3 linked regions of the Anolis sagrei genome follow. The protein of the gene in region 1 purifies or fractionates together with the protein of each later gene. This does not show direct contact. Links are inferred from orthologs where the notes say so. Each region holds a gene or a part of one and is shown in the gene's direction. Other genes may lie near its edges. The genes, in order: RCCD1, KDM8 and SPAG9.

Region 1 (10,117 bases):
TTTCGTTTGCTGTGACATACTGTGCTTTTGTGTCAATAATAATGATAATGATAATAATATTAATAATAATAATCCTACCTCATCTCATTTCCTTCCTCACTCTCCCCCCCCCCCCCCCCCAAGACTGAGGCTTGGCTGGAGATCCTGCAGGCCCTCCTGCTCAGCCCCAACAGTGCCCTCCAGCACCGGGGTGCAGTGGTCGCCAGGAACATGGTGGCGGCAGACAAGGAGCTGGCAGCGAAGCTGATGGAGACGGAGACGATGGAGATCCTGTCGGCCCTCTGCGGCCTGAAGGACCAGCCCCGGGTGGCCCAAGTGGCCCAGGACTGCATGGCGCAGGCCGTGAGCCTTGGGTTGATCAAGCCGGGTGCCAATGCCGGGGAGTGAGAGAGGGCATCGCATTGGAGGGGTGGGGGCACAAACACTGTGGGGAAGGGGCTTTTTGCATGCCCGGCAGTGGGAAACAGGGGGCCCACACTTCCTGGTCAGGCACTGGCCATGCCTTTTGCTTCTTTACCTTCTTTGCTACCTCCTCACCTGCACTTTGGGGCCATTGTGTTGGGGCTCAGTGAGTCCCTAGTACCTATTTGTTCCAATTATAGGGGATCCAAAATACAGCTTTATTTCTGATCAGAGCAAAACTTGAGGGTGACCAGCAAATGAAAGAAATTGCGCCACCCAATCTGAGATGCAGCTCAGTCCTTTGTATAGTCAGAAGCAAAAACCTGCGCATGAAGCTTTGTTTTTCTTATTTAAAATCTGTTCCATGTATCCTTCTCTCTCTGGTGCCTTTTATCTAACCTTTTACAGCCATTCCTCGCAACGATCCCCCTCCTTTCTTCTTTCCTTCTTGCGCTTCCTCTCTCTGGGCCATAAAAGTCCTTTGAAACCCTTTTACCTACTCTCACCTCTTCTCAATTCCATATCTGAGGCCCTTTCTACACTGCCATATATATTTATATTTATTTAGTATATTTCCATCCCGCTCTCTCTCACCCCGCAGGGGACTCTGAGCGGCTTACAATATGGCAATATTCAGTTCCGCACATTCAACAACCGACAGTACAATACATCATATAGCAATAAAAACATATAAACACCATAAAGTTGTTAAAATATGTCCTAAAGTTGCCATTTGTGTGCTACATTGTGCTGATTCCGTATTGCACACCCCAAACGCCTGATTCCAAAGCCAGGTCTTCACTCGTTTCCTGAAAATCAGGAGGGAGGGGGCCAGTCTGATATCACTGGCGAGGTAGTCCCATAGCTGAGAAGCCACCACTGAGAAAGCCCTGTCTCTCATCCCCACCAGCTGTGCTTGTGATGGGTGTGGGACCAAGAGCAGGGCTTCTCTTGCAGATCTTAACTCTCTAACCCAATGGCTCTCAACCTGTGGGTCCCCAGATGTTTTGACCTTCAACTACCATATATCCTAATAGCTGGTAAGCTGGCTGGGATTTCTGGGAGTTGTAGGCCAAAATACCTGAGGACCCACAGGTTGAGAACTACTGCTCTAAATGGTTCATAGGGAGGGATATGTTTGGACAGGTAAGTTGACTGGAGCTGTTTAGGGCTTTATAGGCCAAAGCCAGCACTTTGAATTATGCTTGGTAGCAGACTGGCATCCAGTGGAGCAGACGTAGCAAGGGGGTTGTATGCTCCCTGTATGTTGCTCCAATGAGCAGCCTGGTTGCTGCCCGTTGGACTACTTGGAGCTTCCGAATAGTCTTCAAAGGCAGCCCCATGTAGAATGCATTGCAGTAGTCTATTTGAGATGTAACAAGAATGTGGACCACCAATAGCCAAATTATCTGCTTTGAACTGGATTATATGGCAGTGTAGAAGGGGCCTAAGACTCCTGCTGTGCTCTGTTTTATTTAGTGAAGAGTTTCAGCTTTCTTTTCAACTTGTCCAGTTCCCTCTTTCCTGTCTCAGTCTTCCATTTCGAAACTTTCTTATAACATCTTTTAAAAATCCATATTTATTAAATTTCATTCTCCCCAGTTGCATGGAGGGGTTCCCCCCTCATTGCTGCACTGGCCCCCCATTTCCTCCCAGTTTTGGCTTCTTGCATTCCTTGGCTACTAAGCATTCCTTGTGGCTAGCCCTGGTTTATTTATTGCATATTGCTGATGGGGGCAAAGGGAGCAGGGCTGGCCTCTTTTCCTGTAATGTGGATTTTGCTCATTTCTCCAAAGACTGATATGAAATGTATATGAATATGCAATGGGGGTGGCAGTGTGAGACGGGACCCAAGTGCCTGCTTCTTTTGGTGCCCAATGGCCTCGAATAGGGAGGAACACAAGAGCTTCACAAACAAAGCACAAAATATGCTACAGGCAAATGCACTGTGACAAAGTTGGTTGGTCGGGAACAGTTTACAGGCCGTCGAGGTGCAAGATTCCTTGTGAAATATGTATAACTATCTCTTTGTTTACAGAGGCCTTCAGTCTGTCTTGGAAACACAAATAAAGGGGCACTTTTTTGCACAATCGCGGGGCTTTGTCTCTTTGGGTCTGAAAGGGTTACGTTGCAACTTAACAAAATTTGAAAAAATATTCTGTGCCTGGTTTGAAAGTGTTATTTCCTATTTAAATGTGCGGTCCTTACTTTGAAAGAGTTGCTCAACTCGCAGAAACATTGTTTTTGTGTAATCAATTAGAAAGGATCCCGAAAGGTCATCTAGTCCAAGCCCTTTCTGCCAAGTAGGAGGACACAATCCAATCCCTCCCAATATATGGCCCTCCAGCCCCATAATAGCAGTTTTATGGAAGCCATAGCCACAGAATCCTCAAATTGGGACCCCCAAAGGTCATTCAGCCTGACCCCCTGCTTTCTGCCACGCAGAGGCACCAGCAAAGCCCTCCCAGCAGATGGCCAACTCAGGCCTGTGATAGAACCAATTATAATATAATATATTGTATATACATATAACATTGAAAATATTATAATGTAATACAATATAATACTAAAATATGATATCATAATTATATATGTTATGTTACATCACGGGCGGCTCAACCCATTACGCAAAGTAAGCATTTGCAGTATAGTTGATTTTGCCCAGGGGCGCTCTTGAGGCGCTCTTGGGGGGAAATAGACCTTGACATATGCATGTATAGTTCACCTACAATCAATGAGGATTCTGAACTCCACCAATGATGGAATTGAACCAAATATGGCACACAGAATTCCCACGACGAACAGAAAATATATATCAGTAATTGGTTTGGGGGGGGGGGGCAAAATACTGTCTGCTTACCATTGAAAATTACCTAGGGTAATTACATGTAATATTACATGTATTACATGTAATATTACTAATATTACAGTATAATGGTTTAGTGCAATATAGTAATATATAACATTAATGTGCTATGGTAATAATATAATATATTGTATATACATATTATATTGATAATATAATGTAATACAATATACTTATAATATAATTATATATGTTATATTACATGTAATATTACATTATAATGGTATAGTGCAATATAGTAATATATAATACTAATATTGTGCTATGGTAATAATATAATATACTAGTTGTCCCCTGTCACACGTTGCTGTGGTTCAGTCTGTTGGTCTAGAAAATAAAGTAATTAGAAAGTGTTGATTTCTAATATATGTAATTTCTTTATGCTTGTGGGTAAATGGTATTTCTTGCTATTTCTTTGTCAATGTTGATGTGGAGAGTGTCTGGTTTGCCCACCCTGGAACATGGAACATATCATTCTCCTTCTTTAAGGGTCCCTTTCAAATCTATGATACTATATATGTGTGTGAATATCTATCTATCTATGGCTGGATGGCTCTTTATCAGGAGGACTTTGATTATGTTTTCTTGCCCTGATGAAGGGAGTTGGACTGGATGGCCTTAAGTATTTTCTGTTGGTCATGGGGGTTCTGTGTGGGAAGTTTGCCCCAATTCTGTTGTTTGCGGTGTTCAGAATGCTCTTTGATTGTAGGTGAACTGTGAATCCCCAGTGACTACAACTCCCAAATGTCAAGGTCTATTTCCCCCAAACTCCATCTGTGTTCACATTTGGGCGTATTGAGTGCTTGTGCCAAGTTTGGTCCAGATCCATCATTGTTTGAGTCCACAGTGCTCTCTGGATGTAGATGAACTACAACTCCCAAACTCAAGGTCAATGCCCACCAAACCCTTCCAGTCTTTTCTGTTGGTCATGGGAGTTCTGCGTGCCAAGTTTGGTTCAATTCCATCGTTGGTGGGGTTCAGAATGCTCTTTGATTGTAGGTGAACTATAAATCCCAGCAACTACAACTCCCAAATGACAAAATCATAATTTTTTGAGTGATGGCCACTCCTTGTGTTGTGAGACGTTTTGTTGCCAAATTTGGTGTGATTTCGTTCATTGGTTCTTTTTGTTTTTAAGGTACTCATTATGCACAGAGCATTTATATATAGATACTAGCTTTACCTGCCACGCATTGCTGTGGCCAACCTTCTCTCCCTCTTTCTCTCCTTCTTTCAGTCCTTCCTTAATTTCCTTTTCTTCTTTCCTTTCTTCCTTCTCTACCTGTTTACTTCCTTCCTTAGCTTTTTGCTCCCATCCTTCCTTCTCTTTATTTCTTTCCTTCCCTCTCTCTTTCTCTCCTTCTTTCTCTTCTTCCTTTGCTCCGTCTTTCCTCCCTTCCCTTTTTCTTTCCTTCTCTCCTCCTTCCTTCTCTTCCCCTTTCCTTCCTCCTCCCTTTTTATTTTCCTTCCTCTTTCTCTCCTTTTTCCCCTCTCTATCTCTTTCCTTCCTTCCTTCGCTCTTGACTTCCAGTCTTCCTTTCCTTTCTTTCTTTTCTTCCCTCCCTTTCTCTTCTTCCTTCGCTTTTTTCCCTCTCTTCCCCTTTCTTTTCCTCCGTCCTTCCTTTCTCCCTTCTTTCCCATCCTACTTCTCTGTATTCTTTCTTTCCTACCTTTCTTCTTTCATATACCTTCTCAGCTTCCCTCGTTCCTTCCTTTCTTTCCTTGCTTCCTTTCTCCGTTCGCGCAGCATCCTGGCCCCCAGCAAGCAGGCCGCGTTCTAGAACTACAGTTCCCAGAGTGCATTGCGTGTGTACTTCCTCCCCTGGGCACTGCGCATACTCAGTTGGTTTTTGTAATTGTGAGCTTGTTGAAATGTTGTTTGGAATTTTGATGAGTGTTGTGCATACCTTGTGGGTTGAGGTATGTGCACGGCAAATTTGGTGAGTTTTCGTTGCGGAGTTTTCGCGTTTTGGTGTCCCATTGAACACCCTTTCCATTTTTATATAGATAGATAGATAATGTTTACATATTACTTGTAAGCTGCTCTGAGTCCCCTTCAGGGTGAGAAGGGCGGCATATAGATAATAAATAACTAAATTAGGAAATAATAACATTTATCACCCAGGTACAACAATCCTAGTCTTCCATACTGTCATTATTATGGATTTGTGGGCAAGGTTTCCTCCTCTGAAGTCATTTAGGGACCGCCCCCTTTGGGTGAGCGAAGCCCCGCCCAGGGGGCGTGCCACATAGTAGGCCACGCCCCCATCCCAATCTTCAAGTGCGGCTCACTTCCGCCTTTGAGGAAGCCCCGCCCAGAAAGAATACGTCATGCAGTAGGCTCCGCCCAGAGAGAGTGCGTCACGCAGTGGCCCCGCCCCCACTTCCGGCAAGATGGCGGCCCCCTGGAAGGGTGCGTGGTTCCGCTTTGGGTTCGGCTGGGAAGCGTGGCAAGGCCCGGAGGCGACGCTGGAACCGCAGCCGCTGCGGGAGGAGGAAGAAGGGGCCGTGCTTCGCGTGAGGCCCGGGTGGAGCCTGGTGGCCCTTACCGCCGCGGAGGGTTCGGTGGAGCTGCGCGGATTCGGCGGCGGCGCCTCACTCCAGCTCCCGGGCGACTGCGTGGCGGCACTTCCGGGAGAGGGCCACGTGGTGTTGGCGCGCAAGGCGGCCCTGGAGGCGTGGGCCGTGAGGGGAGCCGGGAAGGGGCGCCGCCTGGAGCTGGACCCGCAATGGAGGAGGCCCCTCGCGCCCACAGAAGCCCTAGGCCTTGCCCGCCAGGAACGCCAAGGCGGTGAGGAGGGAGGGGAAGGGGAACCCCGAGGGCATCCAGCCCGGCCCCATCACAGAATCAAAGAGTTGGAAGAGACCTCATGGGCCATCCAGTCCAACCCCATTCTGCCAAGAAGCAGGAACATTGCATTCAAATCACCCCTGACAGATGGCCATCCAGCCTCTGTTTAAAAGCTTCCAAAGAAGGAGCCTCCACCACACTCCGGGGCAGAGAGTTCCACTGCTGAACGGCTCTCACAGTCAGGAAGTTCTTCCTCGAGTTCAGATGTAATCTCCTTTCTTGTAGTTTGAAGCCATTGTTCCGCGTCCTAGTCTCCAAGGAAGCAGAAAACAAGCTTGCTCCCTCCTCCCTGTGGCTTCCTCTCACATATGTATACATGGCTATCATATCTCCTCTCAGCCTTCTCTTCTTCAGGCTGAACATGCCCAGCTCCTTAAGCCGCTCTTCATAGGGCTTGTTCTCCAGACCTTTTATCATTTTAGTCGCCCTCCTCTGGACACATTCCAGCCTGTCAATATCTCTCTTGAATTGTGGTGCCCAGAATTGGACACAATATTCCAGGTGTGGTCTAACCAAAGCAGAATAGAGCATGGGTAGCATTACTTCCTTAGATCTAGACACTATACTCCTATTGATGCAGGTCAAAATCCCATTGACTTTTTTTGTCGCCACATCACATTGTTGGCTCATGTTTAACTTGTCCACGAGGACTCCAAGATCTTTTTCACACGTACTGCTCTCGAGCCAGGCATTGTCACCCATTCTGTATCTTTGCATTTCGTTTTTCCTGCCAAAGTGGAGTATCTTGCATTTGTCACTGTTGAATTCAGAGCCCTCCCTCTCGCCAGCCCCTGCTTTATTTGTCGTGTCAGGACAACCAGTCAAATTATATTACATTTCTAACAAAACAAAGCAAACAAACAGACAAAATACAAAATTTGTGAGTTTGGTAATTGATTAGATGTCCTTTGACCAGTATCTGGCCACTTGGAGTACTTCTGGTGTTGCTGCAAGAAGGTCCTCCATGGTGCATGTGGCTGGGCTCAGGTTGCATTGCAGCAGGTGGTCAGTGGTTTGCTCTTCTCCGCACTCGCATGTCGTGGATTCCACTTTGTAGCCCCATTGCTGAAGGTTGGCTCTGCATCTCGTGGTGCCAGAGCGCAGTCTGTTCAGCACCTTCCAAGTCGCCCAGTCCTTTGTGTGCCCAGGGGGGAGTCTCTCATTTGGTATCAGCCATTGGTTGAGGTGCTGGGTTTGAGCCTGCCACTTTTGGACTCTCGCTTGCTGAGGTGTTCCAGCGAGTGTCTCTGTAGATCTTAGAAAACTATGTCTAGATTTAAGTCATTGGCGTGCTGGCTGATACCCAAACGGGATGAGCTGGAGACGTCACTGCCTTGGTCCTTTCACTATTGACTGCTACTTCCTGGTGGATTTCAGGTGGTGCAATAATGGCTAGACAGTGTAATTTCTCCAGTGGTGTAGGGCGCAGACACCCTGTGATAATGTGGCATGTCTCATTAAGAGCCACATCCACTGTTTTAGTGTGGTGAGATGTGTTCCACACTGGGCATGCATACTCAGCAGCAGAATAGCTCAGTGCAAGGGCAGATGTCTTCACTGTATCTGGTTGTGATCCCCAGGTTGTGCCAGTCAGCTTTCGTATGATATTGTTTCTAGCACCCACTTTTTGCTTGATGTTCAGGCAGTGCTTCTTGTAGGTAAGAGCACGGTCCAGAGTGACTCCCAGGTATTTGGGTGCGCTGCAATGCTCCAGTGGGATTCCTTCCCAGGTGATCTTCAAAGCTCGGGATGTTTCTCTGTTCTTGAGATGAAAGGCACAGAAGCGAAGAAGAAGCCCCTGCTGAAGAATAATAATAATAATACAATCCTACAGTGGGAAGGGATCCCCAAAGGTCATCCAGTCCAACCTCCTGCCTTCATGCAGGAAGAGCACCATTAAAGCCCTCCCAACAGATGGCCCTCCAGTCTAGCTCCCTCCTGGCAGGAAAGAAGGCACAATCAAAGCCCTCCCGACAAATCGCCGTCCAGCTTTTTTTTTTTTTTTGGTCGTGTCAGGAGCGACTTGAGAAACTGCAAGTCGCTTCTGGTGTGAGAGAATTGGCTGTCTGCAAGGACGTTGCCCAGGGGACATTGCCCGGATGATTTGATGCCCAGCTGCTGAAGCATCATGATAATAATAGGATCCCAGAGTTGGAAAGGGCCCCCAAAGGCCATCGAGTCTAGCTCCATTCTGCTGGGGAGGAAGGCACCATCAAAGCACTCCCTGCAGGTGGCCGTCCAGCCCCTGAATAATAATAATAATAATAATAATAATGATGATGATGATGATGATGATGATGGGATCTTCATGCATTATTCGCCAATACATCACCCAGTCCTAGACACTTGGGAAGTGTCCGATGTGTGATCTAATTCAACAGCCAGCAGAGTGTCTGCTGTGGACACATCTTGTTGTGTTTCAAGTAATAATAAAAGTTGGAAGGGTCCCCCAAAGGCCATCCAGTCTAGCCTCCTGCCAGAAAGTAAGGCACCATCAAAGCCTTCCCAACATGCCTATGCCTGCCTCCTGCTTAATAATAATAATAATAATAGGATCCTCAGAGTTGGAAGGTATCCCCAAAGGCCATCCAGTCCAACCTCCTTCCGCCAGGAAGGTAGGCACCATCAAAGCCCTCCCTGTAGATGGCAGTCCAGCCCCTGAATAATAATAATAATAGAAGTTGGAAGGGCTCCCCAAAGGCCATGCAGTCCAGCCCCTTTCTGCCAGAAAGGAAGACACCATCAAAGCCCTCCCAGCAGTTCTATGCCTGCCTCCTGCTTAATAATAATAATAGGATCCTCAGAGTTGGAAGGAATCCCCAGAGGCCATCCAGTGCAGCCTCCTCCTGCCTTCATGCAGGCAAAACACAGTCAAATCCCTCCCTGCAGATGGCCATCCAGCCCCTGAATACTACTACTACTACTACTACTACTAATAATAATAATAATAATAGAAACCTCAGAGTTGGAAGGGATCCCCAGAGGCCATGCAGTCCAGCCTCCTGCCTTCATGCAGGAAAAGCACCATCAAAGCTCTCACTTCAAATGGCTGTCCAGCCCCTGCTTAATAATAATAATCCTAGAGTTGAAGGGACCCTTCCGCCAGAAAGGAAGGTACTACCAAAGTCCTCCCGACAGATGGACATCCAATCCCTGCTTCAAGGCCTCCAGAGACTCCACTGGACCCATATTCTGGGGCTGAGCAGACCATAAGGATGCTTCCTGATCTTTAGACAGAATGTTTTTTCTCCCATTTAGACCCATGGCTCCATTGGGTCCCAGTCTCTGGAGCAGCAGAAATCAACCCTTGCCCCTTTCTCTTCAATATGAAAACCTTTTGAATATTCAGACCTGGCTCTGTGTCCCCTTCTCTCAGCCTCCATGTCTCCAAACTAAACGTCCCCAGCTCCCAAAGCCACTTCTTAGAGGGAGTCAATGAATATTATTAATATGTTTGTTTATGCCCCATTTTTTTCTCTCCACAAAGATACTGAAAGTTGCTTACATTAAAAGCTTTGCGATAAGGTTTAAAATCTACAAATATACAAACATTAAAATAGGGTTGAGTATTATTGATATTTAAAAAATCAGTTAAAATTTATCAAAACATATTCAGTCCCATTGGCCTCCTTGGCTGCTGCATCACAGTGTTGGTTCATGGTCAGCTTGGGGCCCACTAAAACCCCTTGATCCCTTCCATATGTAATAATGCCTTAGAGTCAAGTGTCACCCGCCTTACATTTTTTTCTTTCCCGAGGTGGGGTGGTGGTGGTGGTCTTCTCTTGCACTGCCCCTCCACCTCTCTCTCTGTCTCTTCACAGGTGGGCTGCCTCTGGTCCCCGGGGGCTTCGTGGTGCCACGACCACCCTTCTTCCACTCGCTTCCAGCCTCCCTTCGTGCTCGGCACCTGGTCTTGGGCCACGAACACGTGCTGCTCCTGGATGAGGCCGGGACCCTCTTCTCCTGGGGCAGCGGGAGGTGAGTAGCCACACAGGAAG
Region 2 (10,052 bases), on another chromosome or scaffold:
TGGACTTGGGAAAAGAGTGCCCCAAGGAGGATGGTATCTTCTCTGGGTTGTTGTAGGTTTTTTGGGCTATATGGCCATGTTCTAGAAGCATTCTCCCCTGATGTTTTGCCTGCATCTATGGCAGGCATCATCAGAGATTTTGAGGCAGTGTCTTCTTTGTTGGAGAGGCTCTACAGATGTTCTTGGGCCAAACCTCCCAGTGCCAGGGAAGGGCCTTGCCAGTTGGTTGACTGATGTCTAGTAAAGGGGTCTCCTTCCCGACTGAGTGATTGATTGATGAAGAGCCAGATAGGCATCCCAGGGTAGTGCCCACTCCCTTGGTTCGACCAATGGCAAGCTGATCATCCTCCCTCTGCCTCCTCTGACCAAAGGTCCCCTTCTGCCAGCGCTCCTTCCTTGGTAAGGCATCTCTTCCGAGGCCTGAATACCAAGCGCCTTTCACAGCACAGGGGGCATCCATTGGGGAGCAGCGCCCCCTGCGGGCGACAAGACCCTCTTTCAGCTGGATTTGGGGGAAACAGAGGGGCAACTAATGAAACCATCCCCTGGATTGGGAGGGAGGTTCTGCTCCATTTCCCAATCGAGGGACTAAGAAGTGGCTGAAGTGGCCCTCTCCAGTTCTTCCCTCTTTGGGGGGATGGTTTTGGTTGGCCACTATGGGCAGAGATTGCTGGACCACTCAGAGCTCAAGGCAGGTCTGGCTGGGGGACGCCAAATTCCAGGGCCACAGCCCCTAGCCCCTCCATCCTGACTCTATAGAGAGAGCCCAAGGCTTCTAGGATGGGATGGCAGCCTCATCCAGACCAGTCTCAGTCTCAGAGAGAAGGGACAAATGAGGCTTTACAGAGGGCAGTGGAGAGGACTGAAGCACCCCCATAGGCAGTGAAGTCTATCAATTGTTATGTCCATGTTACTGTCATTTCCCCTGTCTGCTGGGAACACCTCATTGGGAATTCAAACGGCATTACACTTTATGTCTCCAGTTTGTGTTGCCCAGAACAGACGCACTGGGCAGGGCCGAGGGTTGCCCAGCAATCCTGCCTTCCTACAGAACATGCTGGCTTCCACTCCAGAGGCATACATTTCTATGGGGTGAGATGCGGAAGAGCCCTCCCAAAAAAATCTCTCCTCTGCCCAGATTTAATTCCCATTTGTTTACTTCCAGCTGGTACATTTCCAATTCCAAGCACTGATTTGGAGCCTCTGTGCTTCAGATGGGAAGGAGGTAGAGAGGCAGGGAACATCCGCATTCAGATAAAGGCCCAATGGAGTGGTTTTGTGGGGACAGTGTCCAAATGTTAAGGAGAGACACATATCAGCACCGTCGGGGCCCTGGGGTCAAAGGCAGCACCTTCTCTGAAACCCAGAGAACTCTGTGGCTAGTAAGTGGCCACCTCTTGATGAGCCATTAGTCCAGCCTTGGTCCTGCCCAAACTATGGCCACAATTATTCAAGGGAAGAGGTCTGGCCATAGCTCCCCCCCCCCCTAAAAAAAAACAACTCCATGCTTGGCCATGGTGATTACTTACTTCATTTATAGGGACGCTTTAAAAGGCGCCTATCAAATTAAAATTCTTTTTTTCTACAGGCAACAGCTGGTTCACAGCTTGAAAGCAACAGTTAAGATAAATTAAATAAAAGGGATAATAAAATCCAAGCCTAATTTAATTTGTGGTACATGCAGATGCTGGCAGTGTTTTTAAAACACAGCAAAAGACGCCAAAGTCAAGGGACCCAGGAACTCTGTGCAAACATGGCTCTGGGTCTCAAAAGTAAGAGTAAAGAGACGCTGCAAGAGGTGGGGGGCTCATAGGGAGGGCCATACAGTGGCAGAAAAGACCAGAACGGCTCTCTGCAGCAAGAGTAGAGCACAGACTAAGGGAGGCCCAGCGCTGGTTCCTTGGGGGGCTTGGCCCCATCTAAAATGGCCATGAAAGTGTCAAAGGAGGCTGGATGGATCCATATAGGAGGCAATCAGTGGAAAGTAGCCAGGACAGCCCTGGACCTGGCAATGGATGGGAGGAAAGTGGGAAGAAATGTAGATCAGAGCGAGGCCATCCTGGCAGAGGAGGGAGCTGTGTAGGCAGATCCTCTCTCTGGAATAATAGAATAATAGAGTTGGGAGAGACCACCTAAGCCATCTAGACAAACCCCCTGCCATTCAGGAAGAGCACAATCAAAGGACCCCTGACAGATTGCCATACAGCCTCTGTTTAAAAGTTTCCAAGGTAGGAGCTTCCACCGGACTCTGGGGCAGAGCGTTTCACTGCTGAACAGTTCTTACAGTCAGGAAGTTCTTCCTAATGTTTTAGTGGAATCTCCTTTCTATAATTTGAACCCATTCTTCCGAGTCATGGTCTCCAAGGCAGCAGAAAACAAGACTCCTCCCTCTTCCTTATGGCATGCTTTCACATATTTATACATGGCTCTCATGTCTCCTCTCAACTTTCTCTTCTGCAGGCTAAAACATACCCAGCTCTTTCAGAAAACTTAACAAAGACAGGATGATGGTGATGATGATGACGACGATGATGACAATGATGATGATGATGGAGAAGGCTTCCCTTTTCTTTCCCCCGTCCCCAGAAAAACATTGGGACTGATGTCACCTTACCATGGGCCTCATTGTTCCACCCCATAATACCAGAGAAATTATGACAATATGTTGTTCGACATGAAAGTACACAACTGAGCCATTTGCACGACCCGACATCTGCCGTTCTCCTTGGAGCAGATGGCGGTGCAGATAAAAACACAAAATAAGAAGAGGGTGACAGGGACATCCTGGTCATTACAGACCCCTCTCCTGAATGCCCCCCCCCACTCCAAAATGCAAGGGGAGCAACTCAGATGCACACATCCCATCCACCCCTCCCCAGCCTAAAGGGGGGGTTGCTCATTGTGACCATTCTTTAACGTTTACTGTCTGTTCTTTGCCAGGGGTGAGTACCCCTTTGGCCCCATTGCCTTCCCTATGTGGCTGGATGTGTCCCCCCCCCCCCCCCCCGCTTCTTGGACCACAAGCCCATACGGCTGGCTATGAGTCACCCGGAAAGCCTTGCCAGGGGAAGAATGACACATAAATGGATACAAGCAAACAGATGCTGTCTTTTGAAAATATGCCCCAGGTTGGGCTGGAGAGAGAGAAAGTGACCAGGCTTCGATCTGGGTTTGTTGGCGTTTGTGAGAAGGTACTGAAAAAATGTACCTGTCCTGACTTACATACAAATTCAACTTAAGAACAAACCTATAGAACCTATCTTGGGTTGCTGTGAGTTTTTCTGGCAGAATGGCCATGTTCCAGTAGCATTCTCTCCTGATGTTTTGCCTGCATCTGTGGCTAATGGCATCTTCAGAGGTTCTGTTGGCAGTGAAGCAATTGGAGTATATATACTGTGGAAGGTCCAGGGTGAGAGAAAGAACCCTTGTCTGTTTAAAGCAAGTGTGAATGTTGCAATTAGCAAGCTTGATTAGCATTGAATTGCCTCGCAGCTGTAAAGTCAATCAGTGGGAGTATCTGCATAGAGGTAGCCAGGCCTCTGTTGCTTGGACGCATCCTATGTTTGGAAAGTGTTAACTGGCACTTGGTTGTTTGCTGTCCGGAATGCCTATTTCTGAGTGGTGTGCTTTATTACTGTCTTGATTCTGGTGTTTTTAATATTAGTAACCAGATATTGTTACAGTAAGTTGTAGCAGAACCAAGTGTGTGTGTGTGTGTTGAAGGAAAACTTTATGATGGTAATTATTATGTGCAGCTGGTAATGTAGGCCAACCAGCAAGCTTGGGCCACATCCGATAGGGTATAACTGTATGAGTTTTTACAATACAGTACTGGAGAGTTTTTTCTTTGAGGAACGCTGTTATGCTGCTCTAAAGGAGGCTATGGTGGAATAGCCGTTTACTCAAGATCTATGTTTTGCTCTCTCATTTGACTTAAGATGAAGATGCCTTATTTTGTGTTACTCACAGAGACTATGTAAGTTTCTTGCAGTTTGTTTTTGTATGCAACATTGCAAGTTTGTGTTTCATCTCTGCTATTAAGAGTAAAGATTTTTCTGTTCATTTTTCCTCTGGTCTGTGTGTCTTGTGCATGAGACGTGGCTAAGATCCGCTTGATGCGCAACAGATATTACTCAGTATCTGATACAAAGTGTCAGGCTTTGTATTTGTAGGTGTGAAGATTACTGCAGATGCAGACTGCAGCCAGGAAATCAGTAGATGTTTTCTTCTTGGGAGGAGAGCAACAACCAGACAATTGTATTACATTTTTAACAAATTTTTAACAAATAGACAAAACAGAGTTTGCAAGCTTGGTAGTTGATTAAATGTCCTTTGACCAGTGTCTGGCCACTTGGAGTGCCTCTGGTGTTGCTGCAAGGAGGTCCTCCATTGTGCATGTGGCGGGGCTCAGGTTGCATTGCAGCAGGTGGTCAGTGGTTTGCTCTTCTCCACACTCGCATGTCGTGGATTCCACTTTGTAGCCCCATTTCTTCAGGTTGGCTCTGCATCTCGTGGTGCCAGAACGCAGTCTGTTCAGCGCCTTCCAAGTCGCCCAGTTTTCTGTGTGCCCAGGGGGGAGTCTCTCATTTGGTATCAGCCATTGATTGAGGTTTTGGGTTTGAGCCTGCCTCTTTTGGACTCTCGCTTACTGAGGTGTTCCAGATAAAATAGTGAAGAGTAGAGACATCACACTGACAACGAAGATCCACATAGTTAAAGCAATGGTATTCGCCATAGTAACCTATGGATGCGAGAGCCGGACCATAAGGAAGGCTGAACAAAGGAAGATAGATGCTTTTGAACTGTGGTGTTGGAGGAAAATTCTGAGAGTGCCTTGGACCGTGACAAGATCCAATTATTTATTTAATTCATTTCTATCCTGCTCTTCTCACCCCTCGGGGGACTCAGAGCAGCATACAACATACATCTAGGCAAAAATTCAATGCCTTGGTACACAAACCATATAAAACATAACATAAAATCACTAGAAACAATAAGCATTTAATACCATTTAAACCATTAAACATATTAAACCATAATAACCCCATACACAGATAACACATTGTACCAATCCTTTAAGCACCCTACTAGGGCCTCCCCCTTCCCTTGTCATGATCCGAAGGCAGTGCCTCCCAACCCATGGGTCCCCAGATGCACCGGACCTCAATTCCCAAAATTCCTAATAGCTGATAACTTGGCTGGGATTTCTGGGAGCTGCAGGCCAAAACGCCTGGGGACCCATAGGCTGAGAACCACTATCCCAAGGTCTTCTTTGGCTGTCTTGAATGGTGCTGTATGACTGGTCCTCCGCTGGCATCCTCCTTTTATGCTAAGGGGCAAAGGGGCCTAAGGGGCAAAGATGAAGTACTTTGGCCACATCATGAGAAGACAGGAAAGCTTAGAGAAGACAATGATGCTGGGGGAAATGGAAGGCAAAAGGAAGAGGGGCCGAGGGCCGACCAAGGGCAAGATGGATGGATGGTATCCTTGAAGTGACTGTCTTGACTTTGAAGGAGCTGGGGGAGGCCAGGGTCGACAGGGAGCTCTGGCGTGGGCTGGTCCATGAGGTCACAAAGAGTTGGAAGCGACTGAACGAATAAACAACAAACAATAAACTTGTGCCTGCCTATGTGTGTGTGTTTGTCTATGTAATTTAGTAATTTATTGTATTTTTTATCTTCGTTTGTTTTCGAATTTCTTGTACTCTGCCTCCAGCCATCAGGAGAGGCGGGTAATAAAAAAAAATGTATTACTGTTTCCAGCGCTATCTCAAATATTCATCCCTTTCCTTTTCCAAACATCACTTTGATGGAGCTCAGCAGATCTTCATTCATAAATAAGAAAAAGGAATCCCTTTGCAGTTTGCTCCATGCAGTGCACCTTCTAACCCAGGCTTGGGCCAATTTGGGCCCTCCAGGTGTTTTGGACTACAACTCCCACAATTCCTAACAGCCGGTAGGCTGTTAGGAATTGTGGGAGTTGTAGTCCAAAACACCTGGAGGGCTGGGTGTTAACCCAGGCCTCGCGCATGCGCGCTGGGAGGGAAGGCCGGCCCAAACGACATCAGGTCTTTTTACTACTCGGGAACTGCGCATGCGCGAATGAGGAAGGACGCCCATAAACGTCAATAAAATGGAATGACTCTCATCTTAGGTCTTCGAGCGGGACACCATGGAGGAAACACCTCCTGTGTCGGAAGCCAGGGAGACCCCGACCACTCTCCGAAGAAGCCCGGAGAAAGAGGCATGAGCACACGAAGGCCGCTGGCAAGAGGGAGGGAAGAGGCTTGGTTTCGCCTTTGGCCCATTCTGACCCTTCTCTTTCCCCGTAGCTCTTTCCCCATCTCTCTCTCTTTCATTTTTGTTCCCTCTCTCCTTATATTAATTAATATCTAGTACAGTGTTTCTCAACCTGGGGGTCGCGAAGGGGCTTTCAGAGAGGTCGCCAAAGACCATCAGAAAGGGGCTCTTTGAGTGTAGGTGAACTATAAATCCCAGCAACCACAACTCCCAAATGTCAAGGTCTATTTTCCCTAAACTCCACCAGTGTACACATTTGGGCATATTGAATATTCGTGCCAAGTCTGGTCCAGGCCTATCATTGTTTGTGTCCACAGTGCTCTCTGAATGTAGGTGAACTACAACTCCAAAACTCAAGGTCAATGCCCACCAAACTCTTCCAGTATTTTCTGTTGGTCGTGGGAGTTCAGTGTGCCAAGTTGGTGAATTCAGAATGCTCTTTGATTGTAGGTGAACTATAAACCCCAGCAACCACAACTCCCAAATGTCAAGGTCTATTTCCCCCAAACTCCACCAGTGTTCTCATTTGGGCATTCTGAGTATTCGTGCCAAGTTTGGTCCAGATCCGTCATTGTTTGTGTCCACAGTGCTCTCTGGATGTAGGTGAACTACAACTCTCAAACTCAAGGTCAATGCCCACCAAACCCTTCCAGTATTTTCTGTTGGTCATGGGAGTTCTGTGTGCCAAGTTTGGTTCAATTCCATCATTGGTGGAGTTCAGAATGCTCTTTGATTTTAGGTGAACTATAACTCCCTGCAACTACAACTCCCAAATGACAAAATCAACACCGCCCCCAATTAAATTTAGGCATAACGGGTATTTGTGCCAAATTTGCAGTGGGTGCAAATACCTGCATATCAGGTATTTATATTACGATTCAGTAGCAAAATTAGTTATGAAGTAGCAACGAAAATAATTTTATGGTTAGGGGTTACCACAATATGAGGAACTGCATTAAGGGGTTGTGGCATTAGGAAGGGTGAGAAACACTGATCTAGTGAATCAATGAGTAGGAAAATCACATAGAAGACAACATATAACATTTGGCTGTGTTACATCTAGTTCTGAGTCTCTATTACCATAACACTCATTACTTGAGATGCTAAAGTTTTGCAAGTTTGATCTATCCTCCATAACAAATAGGGGAATATTACTTTCTATAGAACCAAATAGTCTTATCTTCCTGAATCACCTTCTTATGTTTTCTGTCTTGTTCCATATTTCTTCTCCTATTTTTCTTCTTAAACGTTCTTCTCGATTGTTCCTGTTAGATTATATTTGCTTAAAATATAGTAGTAAATGTTAATAAAGGATATATAAAATACAAAAGTACAAAATGTCCTAGATGTACTTTCATCAAACGAAAATCAGTGTAAATACTAATAATTGGAATCACAAATGTTTGCACAAAAGGTTTATGTATATCTGCACCTAACTGAAATAAGTGTAAATAATGTGATGAAAATGTATTAAGAATCCGTGATAATAAAATAATACACACACACAGTAGAGTCTGACTTAGTCAACATAAAGGGGCCGGCAGAACGCTGGATAAGCGAACATGTTGGATAATAAGGAGGGATTAAGGAAAAGCCTATTAAACATCAAATTACATTATGATTTTACAAATTATGCACCAAAACATCATGTTTTACAACACATTGACATAAAAAGCAGTTCGATACATGGTAACATTATGTAGTAATTACTGTATTTACTAATTTAGCCCCAAAACATCGCAATGTATTGAAACAGCCGTGGATCCAGCTGGGAGGCAAACTGTGTTGGATAATACAGAATGTTGGATGAGTGACAGTTGGATAAGTGAGACTCTACTGTATATATATTCATTCTATACAATAATTCAAATTTACTTAGCAGGTACTAGGGCTCTATTAACAAATTATCCTTCTATCTTCCTTCCCTGGCCCTTTTCTTTCTCTTTTCCAGGGAGAAGAAGGAGCCCCGTGTTCCCCGGAGAGGAGCGATGGTGGCTCCCCTGCACTTTGGCCCTCGCTGCTGGCACTACTTCCAAAGGAGGGCCTGACCCTTGACCTGGGCCCTTCAGAGGAGGTGGACCCTGCTGTAACCTGGCTACTGGAGGAAGGGGCTGGGTTGCTCCTGGGCCCGCTCCCACCTGGGGACCCCAGCCTTGGGCGCCTCTTGTTCCTGAGCAGCGCAGCCTGCGACTTTTGCTGGGAGCGGCTGAACATGGGGCCTTGGAGGGAGGTGCGGGGGACCTGGCGCAAGGCCTTTGCCTGGGGATGCCTCCTCCGTGCCCTGGGACTCTGCTGCCAAGACACCCAGGGCGGACCCCTCCAAGCCCTGCGCCAGTGCGACTTGGGCCTGCTCCTGGGAGCTCCACTCCCGGGAGACGCCTTGCAGAGGGTGGTTGGCCTCCTCCAGCGGCACCTGCATGGCCTTGAAGTGGACAAAGAGAAGGAGGAGGAAGGAGCCCCCCCTCCCAAGGTACAGCACTTACAGTTTGGCCAGCCTCAAGCTGGGAGCAGGGGCTCACCTTAGCACGGCTGAGATGCCTCCCTCCCTGTATTGCCGAAGGGTTTCACAGCCAAAATCACTAGGGTGTTGTGTGGCTCCTGGACAGTATGGCCGTGTTATGGCAGCATTCTCTCCTGATGTTTCACCTGCATCTGTGGCTAATGGCATCTTCAGAGGTTCTGTTTGCAGTGAAGCAAGTGGAGTGTATATTTAAGTGTGGAATAATGTCCAGGTGGGAGAAAGAACCCTTGTCTGTTTAAAGTAAGTGTGAATGTTGGAATTAGCAAGCTTGACTTGGCAGTTGAGTAACCATGAAGATTGCAAAGTCCATCAGTGAGGGTATATACAGAGGTAGCCTGGCCTCTGTTGCCTAGAGGCATCCTCTGTTTGGGAGGTGTTAACTGGACCTTGATTGCTTGCTGTCTGAAGTTGTTTCTGAGTGGTGGTCATTATTTACTGTCTTAATTCTGGTGTTTCTTTTAATACTGGTAACCGGATTTTGTTAATTTCCTTGTTTTTCTCCTTTTTGTTGGACTTGTCCACATACTTGTGGATTTCAATGGCTCATTGATTGACTTTGCAAACTTCATGGCTACTCAAATACTAATTAAAGCTTGTTAACTGCAACATTCACACTTACTTCAAACAAACAAGGGTTCTTTCTCCCACCCTGGACATTATTCTATCGGAATATATACACTGCACTTGTCTCATTGACAACAGAACCTCTGATGAGGCCAGCCAGATCCAGATAAAACATCAGGAGAAGATGCTGCTAGAATGTGGCCATCTAACCCAAAAACCACATCACAACACCCATATTTACTCAAGGTGAATGCATCATTAAATATAATGCACACCTCAAATTGCCAAAACCCTGAAACAAACCACAAAAAAAAAAACAAAAAAAAACATTTGTTGCTAAATGTAATGCACAGGTACAAAAATTAAACCCTTTATAATTTGGCCAAAAATTGTGTGCATTGCAGTTGCTGCCTGCTCAGAATTCCTTCTTTAAAAACAAAAAGTGTTAGAACACCAAAACTTCCAGCCATGTAGAATGAATCCACTTTAATTGCCTTAGTTCAATGCTATGGAATCCTGGGAGTTGTAGTTTGACAAGTTCTCGAGTCTGCTCTGCCAAATAATGTGGATGCCTCACCAAACTACAAATCCCAAGATCCCATAGAACCAGGACCATTAAATTGGAGATGAGGTCCCTCATATAGGAGCTGCAGTTGCTCCTGAAGCAG
Region 3 (9,927 bases), on another chromosome or scaffold:
GCCTCCACAAGGATGGTAAAATATCAAAACATCCAGGTGTCCCCTGGGCAATGTCGTTGCTGACGGCCAATTCTCTCACACCAGAAGCGTCAAGTTGCTCCTGACGTGAAAAACAAAACAAAACAAAACAAAACACCATCTTTCCTTCTTTTCATGCTTTAAGGACTAACATGGCTAATTATTTGAAAATTCCAACCATGAACATACTCCCGGGAGTTGTCTGGTTTTACAAGGAAAGCATTTGATGGCTGGATTATATGTTGTTGGACTGCAACTCTCATCAGCCTTAACCAGCGTAGTTTATTTATTTATTTCCTATATTTATACCCCACCCTTCTCCCCCCAAAGGGGGACTCAGGGCGGCCTAACAAAAGCATCATACAATGCTAGCATCATAAAAACAACCACAGTACAATCAAAATATTCGAAATATTGAAAGAACAATTAAAACAATTAATTAAGACACATCCATCAAATTCGAAATCCAAAAAAACAGTCTGGGTCAATTCATTGTCATAAGTTGTGTGATCTTCTTCCACTTGCTGCTCACTGATCAAATGCTTGGTCCCATAACCAGGTCTTGATTTTCCTATCTATGGTGAAGATGGTGGGAATTGTATTTCAGCAACATCTGCAGTGACATAAGTTGCTCACCTAGGCTATCACCGTAAGAGGAAGTACTATTCCCTACATTTTTTGGGATGCTTCTATATTACATGGAGGAAGGGAGACCATGTATTATGTTCTACATCAGACCTGCACAACCTGTGGCCTGCCAGAAGCCCTAGTCAGCTTCTCCGAGGACTGTGCCAGTTAGACCCGGGAGGAGAAAGGCTTTTTCAGTTATTAAATCTTACTGTCTTAGTGTCCTCCATCTATTCCCTGCACAACCAGTTCACTGTCCAAGGAGTTAGGATGATAGTATGACAGCTGGGACCCAGAGCTGCTATTGTTTTGCTGTTTCCGGAACGGTGCTTCGGGAATGCTGATTGCGGAACGCAGGCGCGGGAGGATACCACTGAAGTAATTCAACGCAGGGGGACACACAGATAAACACTGAAGGAATGTAACAGTTCTTTCATGACAAATGATAAACAGCAGTTTGGGAAACGGTTCGGGAAGATTTTCAACGGGATAGAAATCAGCAATCTGACCCAAAAGATTATTAATCCCTTCCATGTTCTTCTCAGCCCACATCCAGGCTGTCCACAAACTGGAGGGCGTTGCGCAATAATTCTACATCCCTGCAAAAAACTCACGGCCAGCTCTATTGTCCAAAACTCCTCAATAAAGTGGATTAGATTGATTTTACACCACTCCTCGTATTTCTCCCCTCCTTTCTATCCTTCCTTCTATTGCAACTACGAACTATCTTCCCGACTTTGTCCCCTCTGTGTTTCTCAGTCTGCCCCCTCTCACAACCACGTGGTCGGACATGTGTTTCCTTCCCTCATTCACAACCGCTGTTGCGCTATCAGCGTAACACTAGCAGCACTGGGTCCCAGCTATCATACTATCACTGCAGTTACATTGTGTGGGGGCAGAACAGCCATAGATTGTGCAAGCCTATTCTACATTGCCGACATAGCATTCATATTGTCACTATGCAATAACTAGGGGTGTTGCTGCATGGATTTAGGGGGTGGGGATAGTGTTTAGCAAATGACAACGTAACTGGCATTTGATAATGGAGTTGTCTTAGAGTTGTGGGTTCAAAGTATTGCTGTACTTGCTTTCCAAACAGCACAGTCTTTATTTCTTGGTCGCTGCTGGGAGTGCACTGAAATACATCTTCCTTAAGCTGGTCCAGAGGCTGTCTGGCACACAGAGATCATAGGATCAACCTCTCCAAGGCAAATGCCCTTAAATAGCCCTAGTGAATGACTGCTTGTAAGGCACCTTGACCCATGATTATGTTCTTACTCAATGATTAAATTTTACTCTGAATCATGAAAGGAAACATTTCCAGGAATTTATATCTCATGTTATCCTTACATGATTTCTTACTACAGAACAAATCTCGTACAATGTTGCACTTTGGGCATGGTCGAAGGAAACATGATCCTTTCCTTCAGCTATCACCAACATACGTATATTTTGCCCAAAAGCATGTGACAGTAAATATTCATGTTTCCTGCTTACCAGCTTGGAAATTTTAGAATAGAGGTCTATAGTTTATTAGGAAGGTATCAATTTATTTAAGCCACACAATTAATCCAAGTGGTTTCTAAATCTGGGTAAAATGATAAACTCCCAACAATAGGACTCAAGTTCTAAGGTGGACAGTAACATCTGGAAGGCTGCGGTTTGTTCTGTTTAGCTAGGATAGTGAGGTTTGTGGATATGATGTCTGACTGTAAAATGTTCTTTAACCTTTCCACAACCTCAGAGCCACAAGTGCTGTTGGGATACAACTCCCATTATCCCCAATCTGCATGGGGGAATCACAAAAGTGATGGGAGCTGTAGTTCAATAACATCTGGACACACAAAATGAGTAAAAACCGAAGAGCGCCTAAGTAAAGGTAAAGGTTTCCACTGACATTGAGTCTAGGCATGTCTGACTCTGGGGTGCTGCTCATCTTCATTTCTAAGCCAAAGAACCGTCGTTGTCCATAGATGCCTCCAAGGTCATGTGGCTGGCATGACTGCACAGAGAGCCATTACCTTCCCACAGAAGCGGTACCTATTGATCTCACATTTACATGTTTTTGAACTGCTAGGTTGGCAGAAGCTGGGGCAAACAGCGTGAACTCACCTGACTCCCTGGATTCGAACTGTTGACCTTTCAGTCAGCAAGTTCAGCAGCTCAGCGGTTTAACCCACTGCACCACCAAGAGGCTCGAAGAGCACCTACCACTATAATATATATATATATATAGTTGACCCTCTATATCCATGGATTCTCAAACTAACAGCAATTTGAAGGCAACCATAAGGCTGAAGTGGCCCTCAGTGAAAATATGTTTGATAGCCCTTGTCATGCTCTAGGACTTGGTATATTCACTGACATGCATTTGTGATACTGTGTCTGCCTTTGTAGTTTGACCCTCTTGGCTTTCTATACCTCTAGATGTGGTGTAATAGCTCCTCCTTTCTCTATCAGTGCTATACTTGTTCTGAAGAGAAAACATGCCTGCTAAGCTCCTGGGAATTTCTAATTTTTCACTTACTGTTGTATTATTTTTGACAAGGTTTACCTGGATTAAAGCATCTGGAACCTTAGCTTCGTCTCTTCATTTGAGTTGAACACTGTCTGACAACATATATCTGGTGTAAGTACTGGTTAAATAGAGATAGCTACAGGACACTCCCACAACCTTACACTCACAGCCAAGCTATTGAGTCAGAATAGCCCTGCTCTAAAGGCGTCAACTCCCACCTGAAACTAAACAGAGTCATGTCAAGTGATTACTTGGACGGGTGGCTACTCACAAACCCATCCAATTTTGCTTTGATTGAGGAAACTGAAATGAATGAGATTGCCAGAAGTTGAGAGGTGACTTGAAGGCATAGAGCAGTGTTTCTCAACCTGGGGGTTGGACCCCTGGGGGGGGGGGAGGGGTCACGAAGGTGGTTACAGAGAGGTCACCAAAGACCATCAGAAAGCACAGTATTTTCTGTTGGCCATGGGAGTTCTGTGTGGAAAGTTTGGCCCAATTCTATTGTTGGTGGGGTTCAGAATGCTCTTTGATTGTAGGTGAACTATAAATCTCAGCAACTACAACACCCAAATGTCAAGGTCTAATTTCCCCAAACTCCACCAGTGTTCACAATTAGGCTTATTGGGTATCTATGCCAAGTTTGGTCCAGATCCATCATGGTTTGAGTCTGCAGTGCTCCCTGGATGTAGGTGAACTACAACTCTAAGACTTAAGGTCAATGCCCACCAAACCCTTCCAGTATTTTCTTTTGGTCATGGGAGTCCTGTGTGCCAAGTTTGGTTCAATTCCATTGTTGGTGGAGTTCTGAATGTTCTTTGATTGTAGGTGAACTGTAAATCCCAGCAACTACGACTCCCAAATGACAAAATCAATCCCCCCCAACCTAACCTGTATTCAAATTTGGGCATATCAGGTTATCAGGTATTTGTGTAAAATTTGGTGTAGTGAATAAAAATACATCCTGCATATCAGATATTTACATTATGATTCATAACAGTAGCAAAATTGCAATTATGAAGTAGCAACAAAAATAATTTCATGGTTGGGAGTCCCCACAACATGCTGAACTGTATTAAGAGGTTGTGGTTTTAGGAAGGTTGAAAATCACTGCTCTAACAATTGGACTCAAGTTCTAAGGTGGACAGGAACATCAGGAAGGCTGTAGTTTCCCCCCCGTTTAGCCAGGATAGTAGGGCTTGTGGATATAGTGCCTGACTATAAAATGTCCTTTAACCTTTCCACAACCTCAGAGGCGCAAGTGCTGTTGGGATGCAATTCCCATTATCCTTAGTCTAAATGGGGGTGGGGGAGGGTAATCTAAAGTGATGAGGGCTGTAGTTCAATGATATAATAATATAATATAATGTAATACAATATAATAATATGATATTATAATTATATATTTTATATTACGTGTAATATTACTAATAATAGTACTGGGACTGTGGTGCAGCTGGCTGGGAGTTAGCTACATTAAAGATCACTACTGACTGAAAGGTCATGAGTTTGAAGCCAGCCTGGGTCAGAGTCAGCTTCCGACCAATTTGTGTAGCTTGCTGTCGACCTTTGCAGCCTGAAAGACAGTTGCATCTGTCAAGTAGGAAATTTAGGTATCGTGTATGCGGGGAGGCTAATTTAACTAATTTATGATGCCATAAAAATCTCCAGCAAGCATGCACAGAATGAGGAAGTACTTCATCAGTGTCACAAATGGACAGTGAAGTGACAGCTCCCCTGGTGGCCAGAATACCCTCATCAAAAGCTGGAATGTTAAATAGCCTCTGTGTGTCTGTCTATATATGTTGTGTGTCTATGGCATTTAATGTTTGCCATGTATATATATATTGTAATCCGCCCTAAGTCCCCTGCGGGGTGAGAAGGGCAGAATATAAATAGTGTAAATAAATAAATAATATAATGGTATAGTACAATATTGTAATATATAATACGGACATTGTACTTGCTAATAATATAATATATTGTATGTATATGTATCTTGTAAGCTGCTTTGAGTCCCCTTCGGGGTGAGAAAGGCGGCATATAAATGTTGCAAATAAATAAATAAATGAAATTTGCACACCCAAAATGAGAAAAAAACCTGAAGAAATGCCTAACATCATGTGTGTGTGTGTGTGTGTGTGTGTGTGTGTGATATATATATATATATATATATATATATAGGCCCCCTGTACCTATGTACGTCCAACAGACTTTTAAAGGCAACCATAAGATCGATTTTTTTTCCACAGTGAAAATGTGTTTGATAGCCCTAAAGGCTTCAACTCCCACCTGAAACCAAACAGAGTCATGTCTGGTGATTACCTGGATGGGCGGCCACTCACAAAACCACCCAATGTTGCTTTGTCCGAGAAAACTGAATTGAACGGGGTTGCCATTCTCTGACAGGTGCCTTGAAGGCATACAGAGTATAAACAGGTCGAGTCTTTGCTTGTGGAGACTGGGATGCAGCAGCCTTTCTGATGGGTCTCCGAGGGCTCCCCTGCCCTTCTCCCTCTCTGACAAGACTTGGCCCTCTTTGACACTGGCAGCTATGTCAGAAACACAGGAAGGACGGGGAAGACCCTCACAGGCCTCCGTCCAAAGGGCCTCACGTCTCCCAAACACACTTTTTGTGGGGAACCTGAGACAGGTTGGAGGGGGAGAGTGCTGCTCAGGAAGCACAGAGGTATAAACCAGCAGATACTCCAATTTGGGAGCATTCCGGCTCTCCTGAAAAGCGGGACGACGTCGACGCCTCCCTGTCCTAGTTCTCTCCTCGGCCCCGCCCTTCGCGGCGTGACGTCAGGCAGCGTCGACGCTCCGCCCCCGCTTGGCGCCCCACTAGGAGCGCGAGCTGGCGCGTCGGCCCCGCCCACTGCAACGTCACTGCCCCGCGCCCCCACCCTCCCTCCGCCCCGGCGCCGTGGGTGAGGTCAGTGCTGCGCGCCTGTCAGCCAGGCTTCCTTCCTTCCTTCCTGTTTGCGCGGAGGGGGAGCCGAGGCCCCGCCGCAGAGGGAGAGGCGCTGCTGCTTGTTGCCACCGCCGGGCCCTCTCCCGCCTCCGAAGGCCGCCCTCCTCGCCTCCCGCCCCTGCGCTCGGCAGCCATGGAGCTGGCGGACGGCGTGGTCTACCAGGAGGACCCCGGCGGTCCCGGCCCGGCCATGATGTCGGAGCGGGTGTCCGGCCTGGCGGGCTCCATCTACCGCGAGTTCGAGCGGCTCATCGGGCGCTACGACGAGGAGGTGGTGGCCGAGCTGATGCCGCTGGTGGTGGCCGTGCTGGAGAACCTGGACTCGGTCTGCGCCCACAGCCAGGAGACCAGCGTGGAGCTGGAGCTGCTGCGCGACGACAACGAGCAGCTCCTCACCCAGTACGAGCGCGAGAAGGCCCTGCGGAAACAGGCCGAGGAGGTGAGCCCGGGGCCGAGGGGGGGGGGGGGAGAAAGGGGGGCCTTCGGGGTGCCGGTCTGGGCGGAAGGGCCCCTCCTTCAAGGTGGGAGAAGGGCAAGAAGGGAGCCTTGGTGGAAACGAAGCCCAACGGGTTCACCGTCCCGGCCTTGACTGTGGCGAAGGTAGACCTGATGCTGCCCTGGGAAGCTCTGCAACTTCGTATTGTCGAAAGATTTCATGGCCGGAATCATTGGGTTGCTGTGAGTTTTCCGGGCTGTACGGCTATGTTCCAGAAGCATTCTCTCCTGACGTTTCTCCCACATCCATGGCAGGCATCCACAGAAGTTGTGAGGTTTGTTGGAAACTAGGAAAGTGGGGTTTATATATCTGTAAAATGTCCAGGGTGGGAGAAAGAACTCTTGTCTGCTTGAGGCAAGTGTGAATGTTGCAATTGGCCGCCTTGATTAGCATGTAATGGCCTTGCAGCTTTGTTCTGTTAGAAATGTAATATAATTTGACTGGTTGTCCTGACACGACAAATAAATAGGTTCAAAGCCTGGCCCTATTTGATTCTTGTCAGGAATTCCCCTGCTTTTCCCCCACTGTGGACATTCCACAGATATATAAACCTCACATGCATAGTTCCAACAGGCCCTCTCAATCTCTGAGGAGGCCTGTCATAGATGTGGGCGAAACCTCAGGACAGAATGCTTCTGGAACATTGCCATACAGCCTAGTAAATTCACAGCAACCCTCTGCAACTTTGTTTGCAACAGATTTTGGCCTCATAAGATCGAGAGAGACCTGGCCCTGCTTTTAAGAGAAGCCACGTCACAGAGCCGAGAGAAGCCTCCTTGCTCCTCGGACCCAGCCTAAGAGTTCGCACTGCCCCACCTTGGCCTGAGGGCATCATGTCTTGTGGGCCTGTCAGAGAGTTGGTAGGCTGCTAGGTTCAGATTTCTGGAGGAACACCTGGCTAAGAGGGGTCTGCTGGAAAAGTTCTGTTGATCTCTTTCAGGGCTTCTTTTCAGGAGCACCTGACGGGCTTTAGTGATTCGTAACTGTTACATGCAAACCATGCAGCATTAAGAAAAATAGAAAGGGATGCTTTGGTAGGGGTTGGTAATGTCTGGAATCAGGCAGCCTTCAGGGCTGACAACTTTTAACAAATCTGTCAAAGCAACAGGTAGTGTAAGAAGCATTCTTCATTGAAGTTCCAAAGTATTAAATACCAGTAGTAAGTGCCACATCATTAATTCAGTTTTTAATGTAACATTTGAGAACTATATCATGTACATTGAAAAATAAAATTATTACTGTCTGCATTGTCTATGTGTTGGGTCACAGCATTTTTAGAAATTGAGTAGATGTACCTTTTTTATAATATAGCTAATTTGAAGCAAATATGCAACACTTTAAGCCTGCTATTTTTCTCCTGCAGGACAAAAACCAGCTTGGCTGGTGGGAAGGTTTTGAATAAATAAATGGCAAGTGGAGAATGGATTAAGGAGTTTGTTACTCCCATAGCTCTTCAGGGCATCTTCTAGTTAAATAACACCCTATGCTGATGAAAAGAATCATACTATTTAGTGTTAGCCATAGCTTAGTCTTTGCCAGGGCACAAACTGGATGCATACAGTTCCAGTTTCAGTTGCTGCCACATCCAGTTTAATGTCCCTGGTGGTTGAATAAAAACCCTGACCAGCTGTTGAGCTCATATGCTTCTCACATGGTTTTTGTTTACTCTAAGTAATGCATTTTATAGGCCTGAAAGCAGAAGTAATATTTCCTTATTGTGGTGTAGTTAGTTTTGTTTTCAGTCTAGAAAAGAGAAGGAAATGTTCTGCATATGGTTCACACAAGGAAATTCCATAAATCTGGTTGTTCATTTAATGGTTCTGGTGTTTACAAATAGGAAATACTTTTCTAGATTTAGTGTGCCATATTGAAAATGAAAAAAAAAAATTGGCCTACATATCTCCTTTGACAGGTAGTAAAATGCCAAAACGTAACTAGATTAAAGTTCATAACTTAAGTAGCCTTCTCTATACTTTATTGATGAATTCACCAATGACTATGTTGTAGCTGCCTTTTTAGGTTCTATCTGCTCATTTGTAAACTTTTTTTTTCCGGTTGCAAGATGGCTTGTAAAATCTGTGACAGTTAAGGTTCATATATTTTAAAAACCATAAAGAAAAAAAGTGTTGCAATTAAACACATTAAACATAAAGCTGGTGATTATAATTACTGACTCTGCTTTCTTTGTTGTTCACCTTTGCCTATTTGCAAGCATTTCAAATTTATACTGGCAGTAAAATATGAATAATAATAATGATGATGATGATTTTATTTCTGTCCCATCTTTCTCCCTATAGGGACTCAAGGTGGCTAACAATACATGACACAACCCAATAAAATTTAAAACAAGGCAAATACATAAAAACAATTAAATATTTGTGTCATGGCTATAAGATTAAAATACAATAAAATATAATTAAAATTACATTTAAAGTTCAACATATCACCAAATCCCAAAAAGTCTCTAGGCCATGTCATTTTTTCCTGTTTTACTATTGTGTTATGTCATCATTATAGACGATTACTTGTGACAGAGTATGATTCGTCTTCCAAGAGTAAAGTCCGTAAGTGACTGTGAAAATTTAGTCTGAATCTGTATGGTCTTTTGCCTTGAGGACATCAATATCCAGATTTAAGGTTGTCACAACAAGTGTTTGCTTGACACTCCTTCCTCTTGGCACGTTTCTTCCTTTCATCCCCTATTTGTACCTCTTCAAAATCCATAGCATTATTGGTAACAGCTGGCCCCCAGTCAGAATTCTCTAGAGCAGTGGTTCTCAACCTGTGTCCCCAGGTGTTCTGGCCTTCAACTCCTAGAAATCCTAACAGCTGGTAAACTGGCTGGGATTTCTGGGAGTTGAAGGCCAAAAGACCTGGGGACACACGTTGAGAACCACGGCTCTAGAGCCAAGGCTTCCCAGTTCTCGTTGTTTATACCACATTTTTGTAAGTTAACTTTAAGCCCATGTTTAAATCTCTTTTGCTATCCACCAACATTCAGTTTTCCATTGTTGAGTTGAGAGTAAAGTAACTACTTTGGAAGACGTGATCGGGCATTCTGACAATTTGACAGTCCTGCAAAGTTGATGGCAGAGGATCATTGCTTCAGTGCTAGTGGTTTTTGCTTCTTCCAGAATGCTTATATGTGCAGGAGTTAGCATTGAGTGGACTTCTAGAAGGGAGAATAGTTGATAAACAGTAATGTTGGGTTTTGTCCTAAATGGAATTGCCCACTGTTGGGCTAATTTTTGCTTGCTTGTGCAGTCTTGATAGAAGCAAAAATCTATCCATTTTTGA

The links.
Region 2: the proteins of RCCD1 (region 1) and KDM8 purify together in Homo sapiens (co-immunoprecipitation; 3 studies listed by BioGRID and IntAct, counting the BioPlex papers as one, with this or other methods). This does not show direct contact. The link is inferred for Anolis sagrei from reciprocal best matches to the Homo sapiens genes RCCD1 and KDM8.
Region 3: the proteins of RCCD1 (region 1) and SPAG9 purify together in Homo sapiens (affinity purification with mass spectrometry; 3 studies listed by BioGRID and IntAct, counting the BioPlex papers as one, with this or other methods). This does not show direct contact. The link is inferred for Anolis sagrei from reciprocal best matches to the Homo sapiens genes RCCD1 and SPAG9.

The regions. Positions count from the first base shown.
Region 1 is NC_090029.1:22,677,525-22,687,641, forward strand, and holds the start of RCCD1 (RCC1 domain-containing protein 1), read left to right. Parts: upstream 1-5,626; 5' UTR 5,627-5,662; coding exon 5,663-6,059; intron 6,060-9,940; coding exon 9,941-10,097; intron 10,098-10,117. Other genes in the region: UNC45A (protein unc-45 homolog A), read left to right, coding at 124-387. UniProt on the Homo sapiens protein: Plays a role in transcriptional repression of satellite repeats, possibly by regulating H3K36 methylation levels in centromeric regions together with KDM8.
Region 2 is NC_090034.1:22,509,459-22,519,510, forward strand, and holds the start of KDM8 (bifunctional peptidase and arginyl-hydroxylase JMJD5), read left to right. Parts: upstream 1-6,065; 5' UTR 6,066-6,171; coding exon 6,172-6,243; intron 6,244-8,250; coding exon 8,251-8,769; intron 8,770-10,052. UniProt on the Homo sapiens protein: Bifunctional enzyme that acts both as an endopeptidase and 2-oxoglutarate-dependent monooxygenase.
Region 3 is NC_090022.1:114,442,932-114,452,858, forward strand, and holds the start of SPAG9 (C-Jun-amino-terminal kinase-interacting protein 4), read left to right. Parts: upstream 1-6,088; 5' UTR 6,089-6,267; coding exon 6,268-6,573; intron 6,574-9,927. UniProt on the Homo sapiens protein: The JNK-interacting protein (JIP) group of scaffold proteins selectively mediates JNK signaling by aggregating specific components of the MAPK cascade to form a functional JNK signaling module.